Drosophila melanogaster: one gene and its partner. The protein of the gene in region 1 interacts with the protein of each later gene in a pairwise test. Each region holds a gene or a part of one and is shown on either strand. Other genes may lie near its edges.

The links. The genes of interacting proteins can lie anywhere in the genome.
Region 2: the proteins of e(y)3 (region 1) and Taf5 interact in binary tests that used the Drosophila melanogaster proteins (3 or more experiments, as listed by UniProt).

Annotation. Positions count from the first base shown.
Region 1 is NC_004354.4:19,635,215-19,640,130, forward strand, and holds the start of e(y)3 (enhancer of yellow 3), read right to left. Parts: upstream 3,156-4,916; 5' UTR 2,159-3,155; exon of another isoform or gene 1,638-2,158; intron 1,256-1,637; 5' UTR 1,224-1,255; coding exon 1-1,223. Other genes in the region: Rcd-1 (required for cell differentiation 1), read left to right, coding at 4,096-4,179, 4,232-4,606, 4,682-4,876. UniProt on the Drosophila melanogaster protein: Essential transcription regulator during early development. Coactivates transcription of some euchromatin genes and repress transcription in of euchromatin genes translocated to heterochromatin.
Region 2 is NT_033778.4:10,876,812-10,881,503, reverse strand, and holds Taf5 (TBP-associated factor 5), read left to right. Parts: upstream 1-1,830; 5' UTR 1,831-1,898; coding exon 1,899-4,013; 3' UTR 4,014-4,192; downstream 4,193-4,692. Other genes in the region: Pex6 (peroxin 6), read right to left, coding at 1-600, 664-1,176, 1,471-1,497; nclb (no child left behind), read right to left, coding at 4,288-4,692. UniProt on the Drosophila melanogaster protein: TFIID is a multimeric protein complex that plays a central role in mediating promoter responses to various activators and repressors. May play a role in helping to anchor Taf4 within the TFIID complex.

The DNA of each region.
Region 1 (4,916 bases):
TGGGCGTTGTTTAGGTCGTGCGTCATTATGACCGTGTGCACGTGCTCCTGACCGCCGCCACCTGTCTTGATTGTTAACTTTGGTATCTGCTGCTGCTGCTGCGGAAGCTCCTCACTGCTGCTGATGCAGCTACTACCGGCTAGCGTTGTCTTGATCATCAGCTTGGGCACCGTCTGCATCTCCGCCAGTGAGGACGACGACGACGATGAGGAGGAGGACGAGGCAGATGAAGACGAGGCGGATGCGGGCGAGAGGCTGGACAGGTGGGCATCGTTCTTGGCGGGCATAGCTGACTGGGCGCCACTCACAGCTGCTGAGCACGATCCAGAGTTGGAGTTGGAGCCGGAAGCAGCCGGATTCTCAGGCAACTTGATGGTCAGCTTAGGCACCACGCTGCCTACGCGCCTCTCGTTCGCGGCGCGGATGGTCAGCTTTGGCACAATGTGCGGGGTGTTTCGTAGTTGTTGGCCGAGGGTGGTAGCCACCTCGTCCTCGGCGCACGACGAGGAGCAGGAAGAGGCGTCCGCATCGAAGGCATCTTGCTGCTTCGCAACCAAGCCTCCTTCCGCTCCGCCGCAGGGCAGCTGAATGCGCAGGGGCTCCACGCGCCTCTCATCTCCGCCCGGCTGAGATTCATTTGCGTTTGAGTTGGGATTGGCGTGCTTGGAGAGCTTCAGGATGATCTTATGTCCATCCCGCTCCTCGCTCTCTACCTCAAGCGCCGTAGCGGCCATCGGTCCACCTGCTGCTCCCGCTGCTGATGCTGCTGATGGTGCTTCTCCGGATGCTGAGCTGGCCGATGCAGATGCTCCAGTTGTGCTTGGGGCATCGTCGCACGGCGTCGTCGGCGGTGGCAGCGTCGGCGGAGGCGACGCTGTGGTGCTGGTTATATGGCCGGGCTGATTATGCTGGTGCTGCAGTGCCTCCTCCCGCTGCTGCTGCTGCTGTGGCTCTGGCTCCTGTTCCCGGTCCCGATCTGCATTCAGCTGCTGATCCCGCTGGGCTGGCGACGACGTGGAGCTAACTCGCTGCTCCTCCTCGCTCGTGCTGCTCGCTGCCACTGACTTGGCGTTGCTATTAGCGCTACAGTTAGACTGGGGGCGACCTGCTGCTCCGGCTGATCCTGCTGTGGACGTGGCGGCTGCCGATTCTACCGCTGTTCCCGATTCCGATCCTGATGACGATGTCGCTGCTACCATCTGCTGCTGACGTAAATCATTCATTGCTATATTCGATTGTCCAGTGGGCCGCCAGCCTGCAAAAAGAAGTGGACGATACTTTAGATCAGGGTGCATGATAGCAGTCGATAAGATTCGGGACTTTCAACAACTAATTCTTAAATTTGCATGTGAAATCAATCCTAAAGAAAACCGCCAATACAGCATATAATAATGCGTATAATTGCCGCTCCAAGGGATGCATTTTGTTTACACTAAAAAGAGACAATTTGAAAAGGGGAACGACCTACAGACACACACACCCACAAATACACTCATACATACATACATACATATATGTACATTTGTACATACACACTTATTGGAGCCCAATGAAAGAATAAAATTGAATGAAAGCCGGGTAGAGTTACGAACTAATTATAGCACATGTCTAAACAATTAAACCGTATTTGTAAATACCGAAGGACGCGCAGGTTTAAACAGTCGCCAGCCGAAAATTCCGATGAAAATGCAATACGATTTTCCGGCGCTGAAAAACTACCGCTCGAAATTGCCGCGAAAAACTTCAAGCGAAATAAACACAAGAAGAACCACGGCGAGGGCAACAACAACAACACTTAATAAATAATAAGCGCTGCAAACATGCGCACACAGCTGTCGACTGGGGGAGAACGTGAAAAGGCAGGAGGAAGATGAGGATGAAGCGGAATGGCTATGGCGTTGAGCGCAGAGGAGCGCAGCGAAGCAGCGGGATAGGCAAATACTGAGAAAGCCGCGCCGCCACGAATTATGGCCTGTTTGTTACTGGTGTGTGCTGGCAACACTGACGCGAATTCACCACGCTGGCGGCCAAATCCACCACAAGCAGTCGATGCCGCTGCATGGAGAAAATCCACACACACACACACACATACGAAGGAGCACGACACGCACACACTCATATGGGTTGGTTGCCCTGGCCTGCGTATATGTATGCTTACATTTCTACTGGCCAAATGCAAGCATCTATCTATCTGCACTAGGACTAATATTATTGTGAGCACGATTTTAGAGCGCAATATCGACAGCCAGTGCACTGGCAACAAAATTAGCAACAACGACGCCGCCGCCAAAGCCCTGACCCAACACCACCACTACAACCACTACCACTACCAATACCAACGACAACAACAATAACGAACGGGGCAAAGAAGAAGCAGCAACGACAAGCAAACGGCAAACTCACCATGCGGCAAAGTCGTCGCTCAGAGACAGACAAAAGAAGATGGTGGAGTAGAAGAGCGCCTGCTTTTGATTTGCGTGCACAATTCGCGATTGCGATTTGGATTTGCTATTTCGTTTGCCTTTGCCTTTGCTGGCATTGGCATGCTCATATTTCTATGCACTTTGATTGATGCTGCGCGACGCCGTGCGGCAATTTTCTTTTTTAGGCGTTCGGCGTTGTTGGGCGAGAAGTAAAACACATTTTTCCATACGATTCAATGCGATTTCGAAGCACGGGCAACACTCGACTCTCGGCCGCAGTAGGCACTACTCGCACGCACACATCGGCGGTGCACACGCATGCACACACACACACACAACAGCAACAGAACGGCACACACACACACACGCTCAGTCGTACGCACACAAAGGCAGCGACACAGAGACAAGCGCAACGAGCTCTCTCAGTCGCCGTTGTCCCACTTTCCGTGTATTGGTTTCGATTCGTACACTTTTCCACGCACTTTTAACGATTCAAATTCGATGGTACAGAAGGCAGGGCGACACGAGAGTGCATTGGAAACTGGCGCAAACCTCAAAAAAATATATCCAACACGCTGGCCGCACGCACGACTCGTATGCAGACTGGTTCTCGGCGCGCGTCGAACGTTCTTATGCATTCATTATTGAACGGAATGCTCTGTTTCGCCTGTCTGCTTATGTTTTTTTCTTTTCGATTCCGAGGTACTCGTCACGACAAATGAAAATCAGTGTGGCCGTTTTGCGGCTGTCAGCTAGATACCCGGCTGGCGGGGAATGTGCTAAGAAATACCACAAAATCGACGGGGATAGCCGGGATACAAACCAGTCGGTGCACTTGACTACCGCTAAATGCGTCTTTACTAAATTGCATTTTTAGCTTTTAGCATGCAAATTATGAACTATAACCTAATTAAAATACCCATTATGGTTATTACTTTTGATCAATGTAATCATCGGTCATTCGCAATCACGCGCTCACGTCCATTCATTATTTCTTTGCAATGTCATCCTTTTTCAAAGATATCAAGCCTATTTTCTTCAAAATTGTAGACTTTTGCATTTTGCACCAACAAAGCATGCGCAAGCAGTTGTATTTGGCAAATCATGTTTGATTTCATTCAGACTTTGTGTTTTCGTACGGCGGGAAGTTTCTCTGAAAATTTAAATTTATGTACATATTTACATCGACGCTGGAAAACAAATAGCGCGCTTGCGTTTCACCAATTTCCAGCGGCATTTGCGCGGTTCTGGCCACACTGTTCGGCACACAACATAATCCTGGTTGTCGCCACTTGTTTTCGATCATTTTAGACTTAAACCAATGCAAAAGGAATTTCCTGCTAACGTTATCGATAATCGCAATAGACGCCAAATCGCCAGTTTTACCTCTTCCTTTTTCGCAGGCCCCGTTCCGTTCAGCGAATTCTCGCCCGAGCTAAGTCTATTGCAAGCGTCCGGCTATAGAAATCGACGACAAATCGCTAGTTCCACCTCTTCCTTTTCGCAGGCCCCATTCCGTTCAGCGAACTCTCGCCCGATCTAAGCGTCCGGCGATAGGAATCCACCTCTTCCTTTTCGCAGGTCCCGTTCCGTTCAGCGAGTTCTCGCCGACACTAAGTGCATTGCAAGCGTCCGGCGACAGTTCTTACCCAGATCTTGTCAAGTTAACACGATGAGTGCTCAACCGAGTCCGCATATGAATCCTCAGCAGCAGCAGCAGCAGCAACAGCAGCAGCAGCAGACCGAGCAGGAGAAGGTAAGCCGATGTCGGCAAGAACGCGTGCTAGCTTTAACTTATCGCCCGCCAGGTGTACCAGTGGATCAATGAGCTGGCCCATCCGGACACGCGTGAAACCGCTCTGCTCGAGCTAAGCAAGAAGCGTGAGACGGACCTGGCCCCCATGCTGTGGAACAGCTTCGGGACCGCCTGCGCCCTGTTGCAGGAGATTGTTAACATCTACCCATCGATAACGCCGCCCACTTTGACGGCCCACCAGTCGAACCGCGTGTGCAACGCCCTGGCGCTGCTGCAGTGCGTCGCCTCGCACCCGGAGACTCGCACGGCCTTCCTGCAGGCCCAGATACCGCTGTACTTGTACCCTTTCTTGTCGACCACGTCCAAGACCAGGCCCTTCGAGTACTTGCGCCTGACCAGTTTGGGCGTGATTGGTGCTCTGGTCAAGGTAGGTTAAGCCGAAGGCCAGTGGTCATCTAATGCACTAATGCACTTGTTGTCTTCTTATTACTGCTATCGACAGACCGACGAACAGGAGGTGATCACCTTTCTGCTGACCACCGAGATCGTGCCCCTTTGTCTGAGCATCATGGACAGCGGATCGGAGCTGAGCAAGACTGTGGCCACTTTCATCATCCAGAAGATCCTGCTCGATGAGTCGGGTCTGTCGTACATCTGCCAGACCTACGAACGCTTTTCGCACGTGGCCATCACCCTGGTGAGTGTCCGTTTCCCGAAGCCTTATGCATTGTCTAAGG
Region 2 (4,692 bases), on another chromosome or scaffold:
CACAAGCTTTGATTTGCCCGATCCTCGCTCGCCTTGCAGGAGGAACACAGGAAATATGTGCTTTGACGACAGGCAGGCGGACTTTTTTGGCAGGAAAGCATCTACTGAGGAGCGCAACAGCTTATAGGGCTTTCGAAGTCCACTTGGATAGTTCTCAACGATGGCCATGCTGTCAAGCACTTGACGAGGCAGGAAACTGTGAGATGCAGGCACTTGAACAAGGTTGCTAAAGTTTTTGGCAACAATCGCTTGCAGCTCGAACTCGCTGCCCTTTGTCTCCAGGTGAATACACTTTAGGTGGACGTGGCGTAGGTGAGCGAATATCAGGTAATAGTGGGCATAAGTCGCAGTGCCCACCAACTCTGCGTTCACCTCGATGCGGTAGGTATGTCCACGATGCATGAGTCGAGGTGTATTGAAATAGTTGCTCAGGATGACCTCTGTCAGTTCGGCGGGAAGTTCATGGGGATCTGCGACTAAGTACACATGTGCTTTGGTTGCTATTCCAGGTATTGTCTGCTCATCGGCAAAATGCTCTACCTGCACCCAGCAGTTGGAGCGGATTTGAAAGCGATCCAATATGTTGCCGTAGAAGTTCTCCTGAAATTTTACACGATGTAGAATTATAGAAAATATTCCATTTATTTAGAACTAGATACCCACCTGAACGTACAGACAATTGGGTTGGCACTGTGCAGCCGGCAAGATCTGGGCCACAATCGTATGCGGCGCCTCCTGGAGCATTTGCTTGATAACCGTTTGGGTCATATTTCCTTCGTCTGAAGCTAGCGGCTTACCGATTCTTACCCTCCTGCCGCGGATAACCAAGTTGACAAAGTTGACGTCCGGCGATTCCGCATAGTTTTCGTACACCTCCTGACTGGCGAACACCAGGTGCTCCGACTTAATCTGCTCGTTCTTGATCAGCAGATCGTAGAGGCGGTTCGGAATGGGGGTCAGCAGAAACTTGCCCTTGTAATATTTGGCGTAACGCCAGTATACGGCGTATGTCAGATATCCGGGGTAGAGGAACCAGGGCCACTTGGGCGCCAGCAGCTGTATGGCCGAATTGTAGCCCTCGACTAGCTCCTGTACTCTCCCAGAGAAGCTAAATCTCGGCTGTCCTGGATCTTGTTGATCGAACGACACCGAATTCCGCTTGCCGACGACTTTTTTCTGCGGGAATTGATCACGATATTAGCTAATATGGCTTAAATGTTACATATGGACCTACCGCATCATCATTTTCATTCATTTTTTACAATAAATATGGACTAAACACAACAGAAAGCACGAGTACAAGGGTTAATTTCGAGGAGGCGGTGTCAAAGTTCAAGGAGTTGGGGGATAGGCGCCAGACAAATACACTGAAATATGCAATGGCAAGTTAATTCTGTTAATGCACAGCAAATTATTACCCTCTGCTATAAAAATTAGCTTGTTTATTTGGCCAGTTACTTTGTATTTTACCTTTTTCACAATTACTCTCCTCTTCATTACGAATGTTTTGATTCTGGTAAGATATTTGCTCAAAAAATACTAAAAGTATTCAGTCAGCTGTCCACAGTAAGACCTTTATAAGCACATCTTCAAATAATTTCTTTGACCTGCATAAAAGTTAAATATTAATTTTGTAGTAAAATGAAAGAATGAAATATGTCATTATATTTTAAGTAATTCCAAAAATTGGCAAAAAGATATAATTTATAATGTATTAATACAATTTATTTTTAGAATCCGTCTTCGCTAGTGGCTACTGTATATTTTGACTGTACTTGGTGCATTTTAGTATATTTCATTCTCCACTTGGCCGTTTTCAACCGATGCCAACCTGGTCACACTTTTCCACGCATAACAAAATAGTACACAAGTTCCATATATTTCAATTTTCCGCGAAAATGAGCCTGGAAGTGAGCAATATAAACGGGGGAAACGGTACTCAATTGTCCCACGACAAGCGTGAGCTGCTGTGCCTGCTGAAACTCATCAAAAAGTACCAGCTGAAGAGCACTGAGGAGCTGCTCTGCCAAGAGGCGAATGTGAGCAGTGTGGAATTGTCGGAAATCAGCGAAAGTGATGTTCAGCAGGTGCTGGGCGCAGTTTTGGGAGCTGGCGATGCCAACCGGGAGCGGAAACATGTCCAATCTCCGGCGCAGGGTCATAAACAGTCCGCGGTGACGGAGGCCAATGCTGCAGAGGAACTGGCCAAGTTCATCGACGACGACAGCTTTGATGCTCAGCACTATGAGCAGGCATACAAGGAGCTGCGCACTTTCGTTGAGGACTCCCTGGACATATACAAGCATGAGCTGTCCATGGTTCTGTACCCAATTCTGGTGCAGATCTACTTCAAGATCCTCGCCAGTGGACTAAGGGAGAAGGCCAAAGAATTCATTGAGAAGTACAAATGCGATCTCGACGGCTACTACATAGAGGGTCTTTTCAACCTTCTTTTGCTGTCTAAGCCCGAGGAGCTGCTGGAGAATGACCTCGTAGTAGCCATGGAGCAGGATAAGTTTGTCATTCGCATGTCCAGGGACTCGCACTCTCTGTTCAAGCGACACATTCAGGATCGCCGGCAGGAAGTGGTGGCAGATATTGTTTCCAAGTACTTGCATTTCGACACATACGAGGGCATGGCGCGCAACAAGCTGCAGTGCGTCGCCACCGCGGGCTCGCACCTCGGAGAGGCCAAGCGACAGGACAACAAAATGCGGGTGTACTACGGACTGCTCAAGGAGGTGGACTTTCAGACTCTGACCACTCCAGCGCCGGCACCAGAGGAGGAGGACGATGATCCGGATGCCCCGGATCGTCCGAAAAAGAAAAAGCCAAAAAAGGATCCCCTGCTGTCGAAAAAGTCCAAGTCGGATCCGAATGCTCCATCCATCGACAGAATTCCCCTGCCGGAACTGAAGGATTCGGACAAGTTGCTAAAGCTTAAGGCTCTCAGGGAAGCCAGCAAGCGTTTAGCCCTCAGCAAGGATCAACTGCCCTCTGCCGTCTTCTACACGGTGCTTAATTCCCATCAGGGCGTAACCTGTGCCGAGATTTCAGACGATTCCACGATGTTGGCCTGTGGATTTGGCGATTCTAGCGTGAGGATTTGGTCATTGACGCCCGCGAAGCTGCGTACGCTGAAGGATGCAGATTCCCTTCGCGAACTGGACAAGGAATCGGCGGATATCAATGTGCGTATGCTGGATGACCGAAGTGGTGAGGTAACCAGGAGCTTAATGGGTCACACCGGACCCGTATACCGCTGTGCCTTTGCCCCCGAGATGAACCTGTTGCTCTCATGTTCCGAGGACAGCACCATAAGGCTGTGGTCTCTGCTCACCTGGTCCTGCGTAGTCACCTACCGCGGGCACGTTTACCCGGTGTGGGATGTTCGCTTTGCGCCGCATGGCTACTATTTTGTTTCTTGTTCGTACGACAAAACTGCTCGTCTGTGGGCCACGGATTCCAATCAAGCGTTGCGCGTATTCGTGGGTCACTTGTCGGACGTGGATTGTGTACAATTTCATCCCAATTCCAATTATGTGGCCACCGGTTCTAGCGATCGCACGGTACGCCTGTGGGACAACATGACCGGTCAGTCGGTACGCCTGATGACGGGCCACAAGGGATCGGTGAGTTCTCTGGCCTTCTCCGCCTGCGGCCGGTATCTGGCCTCGGGTTCAGTAGATCACAATATCATCATCTGGGATCTGTCGAACGGATCCCTGGTCACCACCCTGTTGAGGCACACTAGCACTGTGACCACGATCACCTTTAGTCGCGATGGAACAGTCCTGGCTGCAGCCGGCTTGGATAACAATCTAACTCTGTGGGACTTTCACAAGGTTACCGAAGACTATATCAGCAATCACATCACTGTGTCGCACCATCAGGATGAGAACGACGAGGACGTCTACCTCATGCGTACTTTCCCCAGCAAGAACTCGCCATTTGTCAGCCTGCACTTTACGCGCCGAAATCTCCTGATGTGCGTGGGTCTATTCAAGAGTTAGGAGCACAGATAAGCTTATTTGGTATACGTAATGTAGTGTTAAGGAATGCTCGGAATGTTTAGGATTAATGTTTTGTATTTCGTTTGTGACCCATCCCCCCTGAAATGTCGATTAGTTGTTTAAGCATAAAAGTGTAAAGTGCATATATGCGCAAGTTATCAATAAATTTTAATTAATATAAAAGTCAATCATTAAGGTTCTTATATATAATTCATATTTATTTAAAAGTCATATAAAGCATATACACAGATAAATACGTAGCTGTACGATTTGCCTACTCTGCATCAGGGATTCCAAACGTTCGGCGCACGGCTATCGAGTTCTTGATGTTAAAGATCGCACAGCGCGGAGGCTTCTCTCCGCCGAAGGCCAGGGTGTAGGGATCCTCGGGGCACTGGCGCATGCACTGCAAGCGACCCATGTTGAACTCGTGCTCGTAGACGTGCTTTGCCTCTGTGCCATCAAAGTTCCACACCTTTAGGGTGCCCTCCGTGGAGGTGGAGGTCAGCAGATTAGGCTTCTGGTTGTTGAAGCACACACCGGAGATTTCCTCGTTGTGGGCCTTTACGGACCACAGCAGTTGTCCAGGAGAACGTTTGTCGGCGTAATGCAAGGTGCCATCGTTGGTGCCCACGATGAAGTAGTCGGTCTGTGTGGGATGCCACAGGACCTTCTCCAC